2 linked regions of the Drosophila melanogaster genome follow. The protein of the gene in region 1 interacts with the protein of each later gene in a pairwise test. Each region holds a gene or a part of one and is shown on either strand. Other genes may lie near its edges.

Region 1 (9,930 bases):
AATTTCTAAAAGCTTGTTACATGACCGGCAAAATATATTGATGTGTTGTCTATGATATAAAAAGCAAATGGATGAGTAGCCAAAAAATATTTCACCCCATTAAAGGTGTGTGTCAAACTACCATTGCCTGAAATAAAAAAAAAATAATAGAACAGTGTCTTTCAGGATTTTTAGATAATTAAATTTACCAACATCTGTACTTGGCGTACCAATGCCCTGCTCCTGAAACTCAAAGGTGACTACATGAATAACTCCGTCAATCCGAAAGTTGGTATTCCTGTGAAGCAACGTTGAAAATGACTTGCTGGGCTTAAATATATCCTTGATGCCCATCTTTTCAAAAGCTGGAGAGAGTTCTAGATCACTGTGTATCTTAAATTTCGGTATACCCACAAACACATCCATCATAGTGAGGTTCCTGGCAACGCTTAAGATATTCATGGCCTGCAGCTTCATTTGCAAGGCAGCAAGTCCATCAGGCTGATCGGGCTTTATCAAGAGCATTCGGAGATCTCCATGGGAAAAAGGCACCAGGACGGCGGTGGCTTTAAGATTCCCTAGGATGCCAAATGCAAACTTACTATCCTCGTGCATCATGGGTATCATAACGCTCTTTGTGGCATTTACTCGAAACTCCCGGGGATATGTGGCCTCCGGATTGAATGTCCGCTCCCAACTCAAATTGAAGAAAATGGCATTTACGAGAAGTCCTTGGCTGTTCGGTTTCCACCAGCTTTCTTTTACCACCTGCCCAATTTGCTCGCCCATTTCATGGCTGTAAAATGTATTAACCTCGTCTAGCTGTTCACGAGCAAAGGCGATATTACGAGCTCTTCCCTCTGTATGCCGCATAAAAACTCTATATTCCGTGGACATTTTCATATTCTGACGTACATAGAATCGGGTAAGACTCTTGGCCACAGGTGCCTTCTTCACACTCATGGCAAAGATTTTCTGTGTTTTCGGCTTGTATTCAGATAGATGGGTTCCTCGATAGTGCATAGCCTTTCGAATTTGCTCGGATTCATCTTCCTCCACGCCCACATAGATGAACAGCATGCTGGATCGTATCATCTCCGTCGAGAACATAATGTTCCTGTTCGAAAAGCTGTTCACGATGGCTGCGTAAAGTTCATCTGGCAATTGTGAATTTTTCTGAGCCCTGTAGCGTGAGATTCCTAAAAGGATTAGCAGTAGCACGTACATTATTTATAATATTACTTAATACTACTGTTAATTTGTTAAGCTAAGATGCCCACAATTTCAAGCGTGTAATTGAAAACTCTTTGCGTAAAAATTGCAATTCTAGAGGTGATACATGAGCCAATTACTGATGGTAATATCGATATATTGAATTAATTTTTACATACTTTATAAACACCACATTAACTTGCAGTATTGTGAAAATTAGAACAATATAAATTACTCCTTGTAGGCCAAAGTTCAGATTGATCACGCTTCTAGTGGCGTGCAAGTCAAGTGGCCAATAAATCTCCAATATCAACCAATATCTGAGGAATGCATTGTCTTGATGTTTACTTATGTCGAACTAATTATAATTAGCCACCAGTCAATAGGTCTGCGCCGAGCTAAGATAACACGCCTTAATCGCGATTTAATCAACTCAATACATACAAGAGAACGTAGCGACTTAGGGGCGATAAGATCAATCCGCAAATCACTCCCGGCAAAGCCGAATAGGTTTGGTCATCCTATATAAGCAGCTGCATCGACACACTTTTAATCAGAGTGAAATTTAGCTTCCACCTAAAATCATCATGTTTCTGGCCAAGAGCATAGTGTGCCTCTCCCTCCTGGCGGTGGCCAATGCCCAATTCGACACCAACTACGCATCCGGTCGTAGTGGAATGGTCCACCTCTTCGAGTGGAAGTGGGACGACATCGCTGCCGAGTGCGAGAACTTCCTGGGACCCAATGGCTACGCCGGTGTTCAGGTCTCCCCTGTGAACGAGAACGCCGTCAAGGACAGCCGCCCCTGGTGGGAACGTTACCAACCCATCTCCTACAAGCTGGAGACCCGCTCCGGAAACGAGGAGCAGTTCGCCAGCATGGTCAAGCGCTGCAACGCCGTCGGAGTGCGCACCTACGTGGACGTGGTCTTCAACCACATGGCCGCCGACGGAGGCACCTACGGCACTGGCGGCAGCACCGCCAGCCCCAGCAGCAAGAGCTATCCCGGAGTGCCCTACTCCTCGCTGGACTTCAACCCGACCTGCGCCATCAGCAACTACAACGACGCCAACGAGGTGCGCAACTGCGAGCTGGTCGGTCTGCGCGACCTTAACCAGGGCAACTCCTACGTGCAGGACAAGGTGGTCGAGTTCCTGGACCATCTGATTGATCTCGGCGTGGCCGGATTCCGCGTGGACGCCGCCAAGCACATGTGGCCCGCCGACCTGGCCGTCATCTATGGCCGCCTCAAGAACCTGAACACCGACCACGGCTTCGCCTCGGGATCCAAGGCGTACATCGTCCAGGAGGTCATCGACATGGGCGGCGAGGCCATCAGCAAGTCCGAGTACACCGGACTGGGCGCCATCACCGAGTTCCGCCACTCCGACTCCATCGGCAAGGTCTTCCGCGGCAAGGACCAGCTGCAGTATCTGACCAACTGGGGCACCGCCTGGGGCTTCGCCGCCTCCGACCGCTCCCTGGTATTCGTCGACAACCACGACAACCAGCGCGGACATGGAGCAGGAGGCGCCGACGTGCTGACCTACAAGGTGCCCAAGCAGTACAAGATGGCCTCCGCCTTCATGCTGGCGCACCCATTCGGCACTCCCCGCGTGATGTCCTCCTTCTCCTTCACGGACACCGATCAGGGCCCGCCCACCACCGACGGCCACAACATCGCCTCGCCCATCTTCAATAGCGACAACTCCTGCAGCGGCGGCTGGGTGTGCGAGCACCGCTGGCGCCAGATCTACAACATGGTGGCCTTCCGGAACGCCGTGGGCTTGGACGAGATCCAGAACTGGTGGGACAGCGGCAGCAATCAGATCTCCTTCAGCCGAGGTAGCCGCGGCTTCGTGGCCTTCAACAACGACAACTACGACCTGAACAGCTCCCTGCAGACGGGCCTGCCCGCCGGCACCTACTGCGACGTCATTTCCGGCTCCAAGAGCGGCTCCTCCTGCACGGGCAAGACCGTCACCGTCGGATCCGACGGACGGGCTTCCATCTACATTGGCAGCTCCGAGGACGACGGAGTGCTGGCCATTCACGTCAACGCCAAGTTGTAAACAACTGGGGCAAAGACCAAGGCCGAAAAGCCGAGCAATTACTTGAGATTATTCATTTTTAAAATATATATTATGCGATTATAACACAGAAAAAGGAAGATGGGCAGTAATCATAGTACATATTTATGGAAAATGCTTAATTTTATTGTACTTAAAATTGACCACAAATAACTGTTACGCATAATATGGCAAAAAACAACTTATGCGTGACCTTATTTAAAAGCGCTGCCTTTTCATCTCGGTATTCAGCGTGATTTGTAGCCGGGTCACCACCGGCACAATCATCTGGAGGCCAAGATGTTCCTCCAAAATCAGGTCAATCTCTTTGCGGAGAACCTGCTCAAAGGCGTCGCTCACATTGCGCTTCTCCACGATCTCCACCAGCGGCCTTGCGAGTGGATAGTTCGCAGCACAGGTGAAGAGCAACTGGAGGGCATAGCCTCCTCGCTCCCCTGCTCCCACAATGGCTCCATCTTCATAGTTTTGAGTGGACAGTGGAACTTTCAATTGCAAATTTGGGCGACGAGACAAAACCACGTAGGCCAGCCCCAAATAATGCATCGTTCGCACCTCATTTTCCTGCAAATCCCTAAAGTATCGAGCCGTCTCTACATGGTTCCACTTATCTGCCTTGTCCCTCTTTACAACTCCTGCCTTGCGTTCCCTTTGCGCCATCCTCCGGTAATTTTGAATTTTGCCTATTTCTTTTGGAAAATTGTTTGCTTTGCCTGGGATTCTGCTGGCCTCCCCCTAAAATTATTTGAAATGAAATGCCAGGCTATCTCGCAAGCCGAGATTTGCATAGTCCCATCAAAGCAATAACAGATGGATGCGATGATGATGGAGGCTTTCGTAAGACTTAAGATCTGCGTAGGCTTGGAAAAAGCCCCTTTCCAAAATTGAAATGCTCTACTAGAAATATTTAAAAGGAGACTTGGAGGAATTCTTATTTCCGCTTCCTAGATTAAACTAATCTACACCATTTTCTTAGGATAAAATACAAAATATGTAATTGTGTGTACTTTTCCGAAATGTATATTTGGAGTAAACACTATTATACATAAAAATGAAATACTAATTTAGTGTAGCATAGTAAAAACATAGGCCAGTACAAATTGAAACTCACAACCTTTCTTATAGAGTATTTAAAATAAAACATGTATAAGTTCGCATTAATACTTCAGCCGCAAATTGAGTTTGTTCGTTTGCTTGATTTGATTAGCCCAGATTTGCTGGTCTCAGTGCTATGCAAATTAGTTGTGTGATTATCGCGAAAATTGGCAAACAGAAGGCAATCCGAACCGGGGTGGAAAAACCGCCACCGCGTAATAGTTTTCAGCTTCAGACGTGCGTGCGAATTTTCTCTTTGGTCGCCTTCGGCACTTGGGAAATCTTCCACGCATATGAGTAACATTTTTATTAGCCTCGAGAAATTTGCATTTTAGAGCAGTTTCGGTCACGTGAGATGTTTTGATTAGGGCACACATGTGTCCTTTGGTGTGAGTTGGAATGAGGTTGGTTTAGTTATCTTTTCCTTTGATTTCACACCCCAACGCCCTTGCATAGTGCTCTTCCTAATGAGTGTTGATGAACGAGCGATGCCCGGTTCGCTATCAATCAGATTTCAATAAAGAACCCAACCCGGCAACTTCAATCTTCATTAGAATTCATCGTGAAGATGGTTTGATATAAAAACCCTACCATCGAACTCACTCAAACATGTTGCATTGCCCCTACAACGGAGTGTCGGAGTGCCGAGTGTCGAAACTTTCCACCCAGTTTTCAGCCTGCTTTTCCGAGAGTCCTTTCGGCTGACTGGCGGTTGGTTGGCCACGTTTGCGGCTCCTAGCCGAGATGGCAACGCCCAGGAACGTGACCAAATCGCATTCGGGGCGTGCACCCCGAGTAATCGGGAAACGGATGTCTGACTCCTCCGGCTCCTTCGACTACTTTCGCTCCCCAAGGGAATTGCAGATTTTTCCTCAATCTTGTATTGACTTTTTCCCACTGCCTGCCGGGATTTGAGGACTTCCACCCACTGTGTGATTGGCTGGGGGTCTGAGAGTTCCTTGTGCTTTGTTTTTGAGAGCTTCCTGTCGCTGTTGTGAAAAGTTTGTGAAGCACTTGTTTACGATTTGAAGTGCATTTTCCTGGCTGACTGGGGGATGGTCTGTCATAATTTGGGCTGCAGTCGGCGCCCATCGATTGCGATCTCCGGCAAGTGTGAAAAGTTTTCCACTTCAACTCGGCAAATCTCAGCTGCTAAGTTCCTTGGTTATGCTAATGAGACAAACTTTGGCCACTCCGAGATCGTTGGCATGTCTATAATTGAAAGTTTTGTCTCTTTTTGGTTGAATGAAGTTGGTATTGCTCTGCGGATGAAACAAGGTCACTTGAGGAAACCCCACCCAATTGAGCCACACCTTGTGCTGAACAAGCAAATCATATTTGGAGCCCCAAGAAACCGATAAGATATCACTTTTCCCTGAAGGTTATAAGAAGACCATCGAGCATCGATGGCTGAGCATAGAGTTCTTTCTAGGCCGGCATGAAGTACTCTACCTTGCTAATTCTGGGCCTAATTTTGACCGTGGCTCTCATGAGCGAGGCCAAGTCCAAGTCCAAAAAGCAGAAGAATAAGCAGAATGGAATCCTGCCAATGGCCGAACCCTGCAAACCCAGCAAGTGCAAATTACCCGATTGCCGCTGCTCCGATGCCGCTTTACCCACATCCAAGTTCCAGGGCAAGGAGAACCAGATTCCGCAGGTGTAACAATTTGTAACAATTTCTTAATATATTACACATTCCGTTGCTTTCGATAAATCAGAAATGCATCTTATAAATACTTATATATGAATATATTCTTTCCCAGTTCGTGACCATCACTTTCGATGACGCTGTAAATGCTGTCAACTTTGCCCAGTACGAGCTGCTTTTCGATGGATTAATCAATCCAGATGGTTGTGGAGCCGCCGGTACCTTCTTTTTGTCCCACGAATACACGGATTACGTGAGGGTGAATGCACTCTATAGGGCCGGTCACGAGATAGCCCTACATTCGGTGACCCATGGAGATGGCACCGATTACTGGCGTTCAGCTGATGTTCCGACCATCGAGCGAGAGTTTGGAGCGCAGCTCAAAATGTTAGAGACCTTTGCCAAAGTAAATCCCAAGAAGATACAGGGAATGCGCCTGCCGTTCCTCCAAATTTCGGGCAATAACACCTTTGAAGCAGCCCGTCGCTTGGGCTTGACCTACGACAGTTCCTGGCCAACGCAAAAGTTCAAGGATCCGGCCATGTGGCCGTACACCCTGGACTACAAGTCTAAGCAGGACTGTCAAATAGGCCCCTGTCCAGAGGCATCCATTCCCGGATTCTGGGTGAATCCCATGGTCACGTGGACCGATACTGAGGGCTACAGTTGCTCCATGATCGATGCTTGCGTTTACCCGCCGGAGGACGATATGGACGAGCTGTTCGACTGGATGATGGAGAACTTCAATAGGCACTATCTTGGCAATAGAGCACCCTTCGGGATGTATCTGCATGCTGCGTGGTTTTCGCGGGGTCGCAATTACTTTGGTGCCTTTAAAAAGTAAGTAACTATAATTCCGTGTACCATATACTACCTACAGATAAAGATAAAGCAGCTTTATACCTCAGGTTTCTAACAAATTGAAAATAACTACCCAATTAAATTCGCGCAGATTCATTAACCACCTGAACACCTATTCGGATGTGTATTTCACCGGAATTTCGCGAATGTTGGAGTACGTGAGAAAGCCGACGCTGGGCTCCCCGTTCAAGGACTGTCCCGATTTGCCGGAGGCGGAGTGTCGAGCGGTCCAGTGCCACGTCCAAAAGATGTCCACCGGCGAGGAGCGCTACATGACCGTATGCGACAAGTGCCCGTCCGTCTATCCCTGGCTGGACAATCCTCTGGGTCAGCAGCTCTAAGCCCGCCAGACATTCGCGCATAAAGCGTGTACACTGAAAAAAATAAAATGATATTTTTGAATAGAAAAATAGGTCTCTGCTTGGTCATGCAAAGGCTATAGCGCATTTGTTTTTCTTTGTGTACTTTGTAATGAAACTTTCGTGTTTTGCCAAGGATAACGGCTGACATTTCCCATCGCTAAGGCAAATTTACATGCACCGCATCACCGCCGTCACTGATAAATGAGCCCAAATTATGTTTCTGGCCGTGAGACGCTTAATTAACTCATTCAGCGGAGCAGAGCAGAGCAGAGCCCCCGAGTGTCGTCATATTTCATGGCTGCCTCCTGAATTAATGCGCCAACTTCCGGACCCTCACATGGAGTCCTGCTCTTGGGGTCCTGTCAATGCAGCTGCTACCTGTAAATGACGGTCCGCCCGTCTGGCCATCGCAGCAGCCATCGGTTGCATTTTTGTTAATGGACCTCTAACTAATGACAGTCCTTGGCTTGCATATCAGTCAGGGTCTGAGTATTGGCCAGAGTGGGGATCCTGTGCGGCCGCATTTTGCGGTTGCTGTCGCAAATTATGTATGCGGTTAGCCAGCCGAACCACCCCGTCCCTTGGGTAATGCTCGGTCCGAGTGGAGGTGGGCCAGCTGGCCAGGTTGGACATGGAAGCAACCGCAACATATTGGTTGATAGTGAACCGAGGAGTGGGCGGAATCAGGGGGCAATCGAGGGTCTTCTCTGATGACCTGAGTCAATTGTGTAAAAAGTCTCGAAAACGAGTGGGGGCAGAATTTTCTTGTGGACACTTAGCAATGCCATAAGGTGCAATTTTTATTGAGTGCCAAGTTAGGAGAATGCCAAGAGCTATTTAAAGTTGTCTTACAGAGATGCTTTTAAATCATATATATTTTATAATTGTGTAATTATATGCGAACATATGATCTTCAATTCAAAATGTGCTATAACAGAAATTATCTTTACGTAACATTTACATTTATTTCAATACGTTTAGGCACGCTTGTGGCAATGTTTATTTGCCAGGACATAGCCATGAGGACAGTTGGTCTCCAGAATATTGTACGGTTGCGCCTGCATAGTTCCATTATGATTCCAGGTTTTTTCCAGTTTTATTTTCACATTTTCACTGAAGTTGCTTGACTTCGAAGCAACGGTTACGGACTCCACAACTTCGCTGTTCAGAGTCGAAGTTTCCAGTAGCACGCTGCTGATAACCAAAATGCCAAAAAGCCAGAGTAAGTCCATCGAAGATGCCATTTTCAATTCAAACCGTTGCCGATGAGTAGTTAAATTGAACTGAATCAAAAGCACAGTTTTCAGTTGATCATTACGACTCGTTGGCCAAGATAATTGTGAAAGTAGTCAATCCCTTATAAGGCCAGATGATACAAGGGCTCTCGAATATCAAACGATGATGATGCAATTGGTTTGCTCGAAAGTTGCCAGTAAATCAGATCTGCTTCGATAGATTTCCATTTGTATCTTGTATCTTAGATGGAAATAAAACCAAGAAAAATCGCGGAAACAATGCGGAAGGAGAAAGAAACCACGCTTTTATGAAAATGAAGAGAATGCTCGAGAAAATCGCAACAAAAAGTGGTCAAATATTTGCTGATTACTTTCCGAAACTTGCACTGATTAACAGCAAACTCAGATCCATTGTCCTTTTGCCAGGACACTCCATTGCTCAGAGCCCAACAGCCACCCCTTCAATTTGAGACTTCTTCCCCGTTTAGCATAAATTTCACTTGGGTGAGAAGGTGGCTGTCATAAATAAATGACTCTACGAGCCTTTCGCTCTGCCCCAGCTGTCTGTGACCTAAACCGGCATTATTTTAATGTACTTTTATGTGGTACACAGCGAAAAAAAAATGGTCCCAGTATTTAACACTGGGTCGCACCCAACACCATCACCCTCAACCACACAGCCAAATTACATTTTTATGTTTCAAATTTTGTTTGCTTTTCTTTTTACTTTGCGAAAATTATGCCAACCACCAAGGCACTTTGATGATGATTATGATGATGTGGGTCGCTGGATGGAAGTAGGCAGAGTATATCGAGTGCCCAATGTGCTTTGCGGTGGTTGACAATAGAATTGTCAAAATTATTTGCTCAAATTGCTGACATTTATTAGGCAGGTTATGGCGCGAGCTCAGGTTACTTCGTAAAAAGTCACTTAGAAGATGAGATATGCGTTTTACATCGATTCTCAAGATGCTCATCTGACTGAGAAGCTAACCATAAATGGTTGTTAAGTTAGCTGAAGGTTTTGTTAAGTTTAAAAATTCATCAGGAATATATATTTGGGATTTATAGTAAAATCTTAATAATGTATCTATCTTGATATCAACTTGAACTGTTATTAATAATAATAACCGTATTAATAACCGACTCGATCTGGAAATGTTCGTCTGTCTATCCTTATGAACGCCTCGGTCTCAGGAACTATAAGACTTTTGTATTAGTTCGTTGTATTAATTCAAATTTCAATCGATTTGCAAAAAACTTCTTGCAAGTAACTAATTAGTTGTACAAATTATTGTAAATTATCTTTATTCAAGGTTGCTAGGCAAATTTACGGCCTCAGGGTTTTTGGCGTCTTTTTTCAGAGGAATTAATGATTTTTTTGATGATTTTCGTCTATGAACATGTTATATATGATTTGAATCTTAAAAAGTCTCTTAATTTTTGTGTCT
Region 2 (10,454 bases), on another chromosome or scaffold:
TTTCCTCCACTTTTTTCGTACCAATCATTGGGGCTAAAGACGGGGCAGCGCCCCTGGGCTAATATCGATAATCCAACGGCTGCCGAAGATCAATGAGTGGCGACCAAAGCGGAGCAACCTGCTCATCTTCAGGTCGCTCTGGGCTTGGTTTTTTTTTCTCGAGCTAATAGCTGATGGCTAACAGAGCTCATGGACGGAAAGATGGATGGCCACGAGTATGGCTGTCAATAACCCGCCCGGCAATTTCGTGCAGCGGTTCATGCAAATCCGCCCAGAGATCGATGGACTCCCCAGCCTGCCTGCCTGCCTGCCTGCCCGTCTGTCTGTCTGCCCAGCCAGTTCCCCTTCATAACGCGACGATGGTAATGGTGGTGTTTTGCATGGAGGGGCGCCCCAAAATAGAAATGCCAAATGCTAAATGGCAAAATGGTAAGCAAAATAACGAAAAGCAAAATAAAGCAACAAACAAGGCAGGCAGAGCCGAAAAAATACAACCAAAACCCAAAACCAAATAGCAATCCACCAACGGCGAAACCGTTAAGTTGGTCCGCTTTTATGGCCGCCTCTCGAAACTAATGACGCTGCCGGCACCGTGTGCCAAAGGTGATTCATTTTGGCCACTCTGAAGTACCATTTTTGCCTCGAAAACATCATAATTTGCGCCCACTGTGCCGCATAGTTGCGCATTTGATTTTCGCCTAGCGATGATCAGCATATACATATGTGAGCACCAAGTGCCCCCGAGTGTTTCGATCGGATTGAGAGGCGATAATAGAAGCAGTGCCAAAACAGAAGCACTATTCCTCCCAGTTTCGTTTTAATCACGTGCAAAGGGCGGCGCAATTCAATTCAATTCAATTTGTATCAGCAGAATGTCAGAAGTGTACGAGAGTTATCTATGATATGGAGCAGAAAAGCAGGGCAGGATTGTCAGGCTGGCTTACTCATGGCACTGGAACTCTGGAACATGAGTCACCTGTCGTTCGTGGCCCAAATAAGCCGACGAAAATAACGGCTGGCTTCGATGCTAAAAAGAGAAATCTTTCGCTGCTTGCCGATCGATGTTCATTCGATTTCGATTCTGGGCTACTGGAATTGGATTCCTGATATTGGTACGTGTGTACGTGGGGGTAACTGAATCGGATGATTAAATCCCCTGTTTCTCCCCTTCTAGTTTACAGTCAATTATGGCTAAAAGCCTCCGTGGCGAGGCAAGCAAACAGGCGGCTGCACCTTTGTTTTGTGTTTTATGCGACCCCAGAGAGACAGACGGCCGACAATAGAATCAACATCTGCCATCGCATATTGTTGACCTTTCTGACTCGCCACTACATGTGTGTGTGTGTAAATGTGAGGAGGGAATGGGTGGAGAGGGGAGAGGTCAACTTTCGGGTTAATTAATTTCAATGAAATCATTTCTCGGTGTGCCTTGGCTTGTTTGCTTGATTTCCCGGCTGCTTTTCTGGTTTCTGCGTGTGCAGTATGCAGTGCTTTGATGCTCCCCAGGTGACCATTTCCATTTCCATTTCCATTGGCATCTCCATTCATATCCCCCCAACATTTCCCAAAGAGAAACTATGGCATGAAGTGATCGCACAAGTCAGGGGATTATGTGTGTGTGTGTGTGTGTGAAACCTAATTGACGGGCCCCATCCCCGCCAGCCCTCGACCAAGCTACAGATACAGATACAGATATAGTGCATCGCAATCATAAAGAGCTTCTATAGCTGCTGCTTCTTATGGCGCACTTTAAACGTGAAATTCCCAGCACGCACTTTCATGTTCCACTTTTTTTTAGCTCTCGCACTCTTTTTTTTTTTCGGGGGCGGTGAGAGGGCGTGGCCAAGTATATGTATATACATACAGCAAACTGCTAGCCGAGGCCAATGCTCCTTGGGGCATGGGCATCCAACCACGCATGCTAATGAGCCACTTGCTCGCGCTCCCATTTCGGAAGATAGTTCTTCTCGAGACTCACTTTTGGACGGCTCTTGCCTAACGAGTGCGCCAATCGAAAGATGAAGGGTTCATGGTGCGGAGTTCAGGGTTATGGGTTTCAACTCGGGTTAACCACGTGCTACAAGCTCACCTAACTGGGGGCCAATCCTCGCCTTTATGGCCCCGCATTACAGCACAGATCCCGTTTGATGAAAAGCATTAGCAACAATTAATGTTGCAACTGCAACATCGAGCAGGCAATGCAACATTGCACACATATGTACATACATACATTAGTATGTACATACGTATGTGTGTGTGGGTGTGTGCGGATCGTGCGAAAATGCGAAAATGTACAGAGGCGGCGATCAAAGTAAACGGTCTATCAATGGGATCCCACCATCTTACAGCGAATCATTTTATTGTTATGCATAAACAATTTCTTTCTCGCAAGCATTGAACCCACGAAGCCGTGCGATTTTGAAATGGAAAACAGACAGCAGAAGACATGAAACACAGTTTTCCCAAACGAAAGGCGATTAGCATTTCAGTTGCAGTTGGCTTCTGTTTGCCATGGCATGTTTTGAATATAAATGCCCCGGTGGCTCAAAGAATCCGAGATTCCCAGCATGAATATTCAGGGGAGGATGTGCCCGGGTGTTCGGGGCTCGGTGCTTGGGGACTGGTGACTGGGGACTGGGGTTCGGCAAGCGCCGGAGGAATGTGGCCACTGGCCAAGAACTGGAACTGGAAAATAATCAATTGCAGACCCGCGATGCGAAGAGACTTTCGGCCAGCGATCCCATCCAATGCCAGACCTGTTTTTCTTCACTATCCCCTCCCCTCCCCTCCCCCTTCCATCATGATCATAAGACCAAACCCCGGACCCATCCCGATCCCATCCGATCCGCTTCGGTTTGTTTGGTTCTATTCTGGCTAAATGGGTCGAGCAATGGAACGTAACTGTTTCGCATAAGTGCATCGATGGAGCCGCATTAAAACGGTCTCACATGGACGATGGCATCGCCGGGCAGGGTGCGGAAGAAGTGGACACAATCTCAAGACGCCATCTGCCCGCTGACGTGACCAGAGGTGATCCAGCTCCAGCTACAGTTCTAGCAACAGCTCCAGCTCTTATCGCACTGATTTCCTTATCGATTCGGTGATAGTAGGGGAAATACAGTAGAAGCTGCCATAAAGATCATTTTTCAATTTAATTAGAATATCTATCTTTTAGTCGAACGACACAATATCTTGCTTAAAAGGTTCAGAAGTGTAACAGATTACTACGTATGTATCACACGGTTCCATTGTATTTTTAGCAGTATAAATACAAGAAATATAGGTTTGTTATATAGTACCTGGTACCTGGCTTCCGCGTTAGCAGGTATTCACTGTGCCGCCACCATTCATTATCGATAAAAAAAAGGGCGGTCTGGTCCGCTCTGATTTTCACTGCAACCGCATAAAATGCGTTGCAAAAGCAAGCCAAACATAAACCAAAAACCAAAATGGAAATGAAAAGGAAAATTAGGCGTTTGTTTTGTTTGGGTCTGCTTGGCTGCCCGCCGCTCATTGCACAATTTCCCGCTGAGGAATTTTCATTTTCAGGTATTTTAGGCATTTATTCAGTAGGTGTGTCCGTAGATGTGCGAGTTGGAGTAAGTAGCCGAGTAAGTGAGTGGAGTGAGTGAGTGAGTAAGTGGCGGCCAAGAATTTACGGCTAAAAATAAGGCACGCAATGGGCCAATTGGGTGGAGTTCGCAGTCGATAAGGAACTCTCCCAGACTAAATGGTCCCCAAACAACAAGCCATTAATAAGAGGGCGGGACGCCAGGTGTTTGCTGGATGATCTAACAGGGGAAACGAAAAAAGCACAGTGAAAGAAATTCTCTGGCATGCAAACATGCATGTAAACATGGTAAACTCAGATGAATTCTTAATTTAACTAGCAAATCTGGTAAGTAGAATTCAAAGCCTGCAGCTGTGCAATAATTAAAAAAAAAAAAAAACATGGCCTTTAATTTAAATATTTCAGTCCAGAATTGCCTATTCTATATATAAGTTAATAGTTTTGTATTTCGTTTTGAAAAGAGACAACAAAAAAAAAAACGAATCCTTTTGAGTCGCAATTTCTCTCTGTGTGGGAACACTATGGCATTTCAAAGGATAGGGAACAGAGTGCTCCTGAGAACAGCAGCGAAAACAGCTGTTTCCAAAGCGTGCGCGCTCATCTCATTCTCATCGCAAAGAAATTGGCAAATATTGACAGGTGTATTTATGTGCGTGTACATTTGTATATATGTACATATGAACTTAACAAACAAGGCGAAACTCGGCGAATTTGGGAGAGCCACACGGCGATGATTTGTTTGCTCATTCGCCGTGACGTCAACGGCTCTGGGTTTTAATCGCAAATTGCTGGAATAAAACACTGTGCGCTGTGCAAATATGCAAAATAAATGAAACGAGCGAATTGAGGCAAAGAACGTACTAACTGATAGCGGGGCAAGTTCAAGATCACAACAAGCTGGATCCGTTCATGTCAATGGAGCCCAGTGTATTTATCATCTTGATTTGTGTAAATTCCACGCAGCTCTAGATTGAACCACAATTCGTGACTCATTTACTCATTTGGCCGCCCAGTGGCCACTATTGCAACCAATAACTAACATTGCGGAAAACATTTCTTAAAGGGTCTTATTGGCCATGTTGGAGATATGAAAATATCTATGCTTTGGCTTTCAGTTATTATTTGTTTCCATAATCACTGGACTGGGAACAGCAGAATGAGCGCGCTTTGTGTTTTGTCACGAATTTGGAATCGGAATTCGCGATTTCTCATTGACACTTAGCCCTGAAGAAAACGCAAAACGAAAACAATGGCAAAGGTAAACAAGAGGCACCAAAAAAGCGCCACCATGGGCGTATGCTAAGGAATGCCAAGGGGCGGAAGGCGATGCAAATACATAAGGGGAGCGCTTAGCATGAGCAATTTTCTAGCAATGCGATGAGTAAGTGCGCATTCGAGCAAGGGAATTATCTTATCAGCCAGAAAAGCCTGATAAAAAGGCAATTGCTGGAGTCAGGAAAACACAAGAGGAAGAGCAAGAGGCAATGGCAAAAGGAGGAAGCGCGCGGTGGGGAAAAAGTGAAATTTCGAATTGGTACGTCTGCAGCAAAAGCAATAGGAACAACACGACCGTCATGACAATATTTTAAGCACACACCAACACAACGGCGCAGGCCACACACCCATACACACGCGGCACAAACGAGTTTAAGTTTTAATGCGATTTATTCGCCGTAAAAAAAAAATAAAAAAAAAACACAAATACTAAAACGGGTGTCCCCCGCTTTTCGCCCCCACTTACCCGTTACACTACAGTGCGTCGGACTCCACATGTCACCCTGTATCCCGTTGATCAAGTCGCACTCTCACGCTCTCTCCCGATCCCGATCCTTTGCTGTCTCGCTCTTGCTGCGAAGGTCCTGCCTTTCGTTTCTTCTTCTTTGCCTATATTGTAATTTGGATTGTTGTTGTCGATGTGTTTTGTTTACACTAATCGTTGTGTTTGTTGCTGCTCGCACACTGTGATTTCTTCTTATTGTTCTCAGTTGCCAATTTAATCACGCGCGACACGAACGAAACGCCAGGAGAACGTAGTGTAGTCTAATGTAAAAAAAAAAAGGAAAAAGACGGAGACGCGACGCGTGATGTTGTTGTTTGAAAGGTGGCCGCTAGAGTGACCGTTTGGGGGAAACGAAATGTGCCCACTGCCAGTCGGGGAGCTGCAAAAGTGCAAGTTGCGCGGCGCGACTGCGAAGAACGGCGTATTTAGTAGAGGTGGAGAAATCGATGTTGGCGGACATCGATGTTTTCAATAAAAACAAAAAAATTAACTGCTTAACTTAAAGATTATTATTTTTTTATAATTGCTTAAATAAAAAGGCAGTACTATAACTAAACATGACAAGCTTATTGCCGTCTACGTTTTTATCCGCCCCTGGTCCAATAATTGCTCCTATAAATCAAATATACTAATTAATGCAATTCAATAGAAAAGTAATTCAATAGAAAAGTAAGCCAGTATGCATACGAGCAGGTGCACGCATGCATACATGCATAAATATACGTGTCGTCTTCCACGACGCCAGCCAAGACCACCAGCAAGTCACTGAAAATTTGCAATATGCTATTAATAAATGGAAATTGGAAAATTTGGAAATTTAATTTATACTCACAATTTAAACACTTTTAACCTACGATGCGCAGTAAAGATGGAAAAACATCGATGATTCTTTGAAAAACATCGATGTTTGTGATTTTTCGAAAACATCGATGACATCGATGTTGGCATCCACCTCTAGCATTTCGACCCCAGCCCAGCCTGGTCGCACTAACCGATTACAGCTGTGGCGTCCTTGTTAATGCAACGCTTTTTCGTTTTTCGCCGTTATAATTATTATAATTAATATTCGCATTCGATATGGAGCCAATGAATCTGGGCAGCCCGGTCAACAGTCCTGGCTCCAACCAGACCCAGTATCTGCCACCTTTTCTGCTCGGCGATCCGCAAGGTATAACGCCGCACAAGAACACGCTGTCCCCGAAAACCGGGCGCTCTAATATAAGTTTCGGTAAGTAGCCGGCATCAAGCAGCTCGTACGCATTGGCTATATGAACACATGCCCCGCAGCCACCTCGCCCGGCGGCAGCAGTCCGCACGAGCTCAACCGCTCCGCTCTGAGCACACGCACTCTGTTCGCCGCCCAAGGAGGCGCCCACACGGCTGTGGGCGCCAACAGCTCAACGACCGCGCACGGCCAGACGCACAGCCACCACCAGACGGGACCGCCCACCCAGGGACTCTTCGACTCGCTGCGCGAACAGTCCGTCACCCCGAAGAAGAAGAACCATCTTGGCATGCTGCAGTTGCAGTCACCGAACCAGAGCTACCAGAGCAGCTATCACACGAATGACTCGTTCGCACCCGGGGCGCCCAATGCCATCAATGCCTCGATGCGAGCACTGTGCTCGCCACTTGGAGCCACTGCCTCGCCAGCTGGAGGCCTGGGCACATCCGTGACGACGGGCGGCAACTCGCGCCTATCCGACTTTTGGGTTACCATCTTCGGGTTCCCGCCGGGGGCCGGCTCCATGGTGCTGCAGCACTTCACCGTCTGCGGCACCATTGTGGACGTGGTGCATGCCCCGCAGAACGGCAACTGGATGTATGTGCGCTACTCCTCGCGCATCGAGAGCGACAAGGCGCTGAACTACAACGAAAAAATCATCGCCGGCAATGTGATGGTGGGCGTGTCGCGCTGCACGGATAGGTCGGTGATCGATAAGGAGAACATCGGCTCTGTGCCCAATGCAGAGATAGGAGATCCCCCCACCAGCCCCAGTGCGATTCGACCGTTTTCCCAGCAGTCGTACAAGCTGGCCCGCAAAGATAACATCATATCGCCGCAGAAGGATGTGCCGCAAAAGAGCTCCGGTCTGATGGACAAGGCCATGGACCTGATATTCGGCTGGTAAGAAGGGCTGATGGCAAGTCGGATGGATGGATAGATGGAGTGATGGAGTTTCCGGCTACTTATTTAATAATTCACTGCCTACATCCAGCATACATACATATACATACTTATTAAATGGAGATATATTAGCAATAGCATTAGCAAAAGAAGTCGAAGGGGGTGGCGCTGCCCTTCTACTTGGGCTCCAGGTGCGCCGTCTCTAGGTTCTTCATCTTGGGATAGCTAATGGAGCGGCTGTCCAGCTTGGACTGGGCCCACAAGATCAGCTTGAGCAGGAACATCATTTTGGGCGTGGAGTCCTCGCTCTGCTCGCAGCGCAGGATGGCCGAGTTGAGCTCGCTAGCGATCTTCTGGCGGTACGACTGCTCCAGCAGGTCGGCGAAGGGGCTCTCCTGCGGCTTCTCGAAGGCGAGCAGGGCCAGGGTGCGCTCCAGCTCAAACATGGCCTCCTCGCCGGACTCGGACAGCTTGCTTTGGGCAAAGGACAGGGCCTCCTCCACCTTGCCGGCGCGTATCAGCTCGATGAGCTGCAGCTGCTGCAGGTGGAAGAACAGATAGCGATCGCTGCCGAGCAGCTCAGGATGCAGCTGGTTCACCAGCTGGGTGGCCTCCTCGATGCGGCCCGCCTGCACGGCTTCGCGGATGAGTATGCGCCCATCGAGGCTGCTCAGCTCCACGCTGGGCTCCAGATCCGCCTCGTGCTGGAACTTCTCGGCGGCCTCCTTGAAGCCCTCTGTGGATTAGCCCTTGATTAGCTGCTTGCTGTGGCTGCGGGCTGGTGACCCGGACTCACCTGTGACCAAGTAGTTCATGATCAGGCGATTCATGTCCGCCTGCTTGAAGGGAAACTGCTCCAGGCGCTGCAGCCACTCCTCCTTGATGATGGCCTCCGATTTCTCGTTGTAGCTCATTTTCTTGCTCTTGCGTATCTTGCCAATCTTGAGGCCGTTTTTCCAACCGATTTGCGTCGAATTCTGTTTACCTAATCGTCTTCCCGCTTTTCCTAGCCCTGTTTATGCGCTTTTATTGTTTACTAACTTGCAATGCACAAATGACGCTGGAAATTTTCTTTTCTTCTGTTCAGCGTGACCAGAGTGCTTTAGCAAGCGCAGCATGGTCACGCTGTTTGATTGCCAAGAGGGCGCGAATTTTGAAATCAAACTATCGAATGAACTATATTTTATTGTTTATTATTATTGTAGCGAAAACACCCTAAATTTGTTATTTAAGCTAGAAGCTGGCTTAAACTACTTTAGTTAAGATATATTAGTGCAATCCCAATCCACTATTCGCCTTTGCGTTCCGAACTGAATATAAAGAGCTGCTCTATTGCTGATCTAACTTTATTGAATACTTTGAATTTGTTTATTTGTCACTTTACAAGTATAAGAGCCGCTAGCGACGCGACCAGGTGCCTACGCCGCCGCCCCCGCCACGGAAGAGGGGCGCCAGCAGGCGCAGTCAGCCTCAGTTCTTTCGGTTGCCACGGCGCCGCATGGAGGCGGTGCACTTGGGGCAGTACCACTTGCCCTTGGGCGGCTGGGTGATGCCCACGCAGGGGTAGTGGAACCACTCGTAGGGACAGGCGTCGTTGTCGCAGGCCACCATGTCGCCGTAGGACACCTGGTTGCAGGTGCAGTAGCGCGGCTCGTTGGGATCGTACGACCATTCGCCCTCGTTCGTCTGCTCCACCACGAGTCCGTTCTCGCCGATGGTCAGGCTGGAGCCGGGCGTTACCGTGGTGGTGGGCAGGTTCATGGCAATCATTCCGGCGGGCACGCCCTCAGCGGAACTCTCCGCCAAGTTGCCTCCGCCTCCACCTCCGGGGGTCATGGCGAGCAGCGCCTGTCCACCCACAGACATGTAGGTTGTCGTGGCCGATGCCGCCGCCAGGGCCGCCGACGTGGTGAGCTTGTTCACCGATTCCAGACTAATCGACGACGACGAGCCAATCGAGTTGCCCGACGAGGAGCCGGCCGTCGGCTGCACTGTGGGCAACGTCAGCGCTGTGGTTAGCTTCTTCTTTTGCTTCTTCTCCTGGTGGTGGCTGCTGTGCCCGCCGCCGTGACCACTGCTGCTGTGGTGTCCGTGCCCATGACCATGCCCATGGCCATGACCATGTCCGTGCCCATGGCCGCCATGGTGCGACTGTGAGTGGTGCGAATGATGCGAGCCGGTGCTACTACCGCCAGCTGCGCCGGTGGCCAACGCTGTGCCGGCAGCCACTGTCACCGATCCAGCGGTCGACTGCTGCAGTCCACCCTGACCGGCTTGGGTCCAGAAGTCGGTGGTGGTGCCCGCTGTTCCGTGTATGGCCTCGTAACTCGCCTTGAGGCTGGCCGTGCGGCGGCCTTGCTGCATCTGCTGTGTGGCCACGATCGCCTGGCTGGCTGCCGCCGCAATGGCACTAGATGCGGCGGCTCCTCCGCCCAGTTGTTGCAGGTTGTAGGTGACTGTGGCCCCGGCGGCCGAGTGCCCACTGACATGGGCGTGCCCGTGGGCCGTACCAGCAGCGACCACGGACGTGGAGTTGCCGCCCGCTGCCGCTGCGGCGGTCGCTCCACCCGAGGTGCTTAGCACGGTGTGGGTAAGGTTCGTGGGCAGTTGGCGGACCAGCGAACCCGTTCCTGTGGCAAGCGAGCTGCTGGCAAGACTGCTACTGCCGCCGGCCACGCCCATGGCCACAGGCAGGGTGAGATGAGTGGCGGCGATGCTGCCAATGTGGTTGGAGACATGAGTTTGGGCAGTCGTCGCGCTGGCCAGGCTGGCGGCTGCTGCGGCCGTTGTGGCGGACGAAGATGAGGCTGCCGCGGCAGTCGTGGAGCCCGAACCGACCACGGGAAGTGAGTGATTCAGATTGGCGCGCTTCTCCTGAACAGGCACCGTGCATATGGTTTCCCGCCGCTTCTCCAGCTTGCGGTGGCGCTGACTTGAGCCCAACTGGGCGGTGGAGATGCTGGAGAGGGCACCGC

What was found. The genes of interacting proteins can lie anywhere in the genome.
Region 2: the proteins of CG15605 (region 1) and Rip11 interact in a two-hybrid assay, tested with the Drosophila melanogaster proteins (one large-scale study listed by BioGRID).

What each region holds. Positions count from the first base shown.
Region 1 is NT_033778.4:17,123,022-17,132,951, forward strand, and holds CG15605 (uncharacterized protein), read right to left. Parts: upstream 4,003-9,930; 5' UTR 3,939-4,002; coding exon 3,480-3,938; 3' UTR 3,389-3,479; downstream 1-3,388. Other genes in the region: Spn53F (serpin 53F), read right to left, coding at 6-127, 189-1,206; Amy-d (amylase distal), read left to right, coding at 1,779-3,263; Cda9 (chitin deacetylase-like 9), read left to right, coding at 5,812-6,030, 6,137-6,861, 6,974-7,223; CG45273 (uncharacterized protein), read right to left, coding at 8,222-8,488.
Region 2 is NC_004354.4:18,641,878-18,652,331, forward strand, and holds the start of Rip11 (Rab11 interacting protein), read right to left. Parts: upstream 5,691-10,454; 5' UTR 5,344-5,690; coding exon 5,313-5,343; intron 1-5,312. Other genes in the region: Nup35 (nucleoporin 35kDa), read left to right, coding at 6,429-6,579, 6,639-7,483; Hou (houki), read right to left, coding at 7,656-8,215, 8,276-8,393; Ing3 (inhibitor of growth family, member 3), read right to left, coding at 8,950-10,454.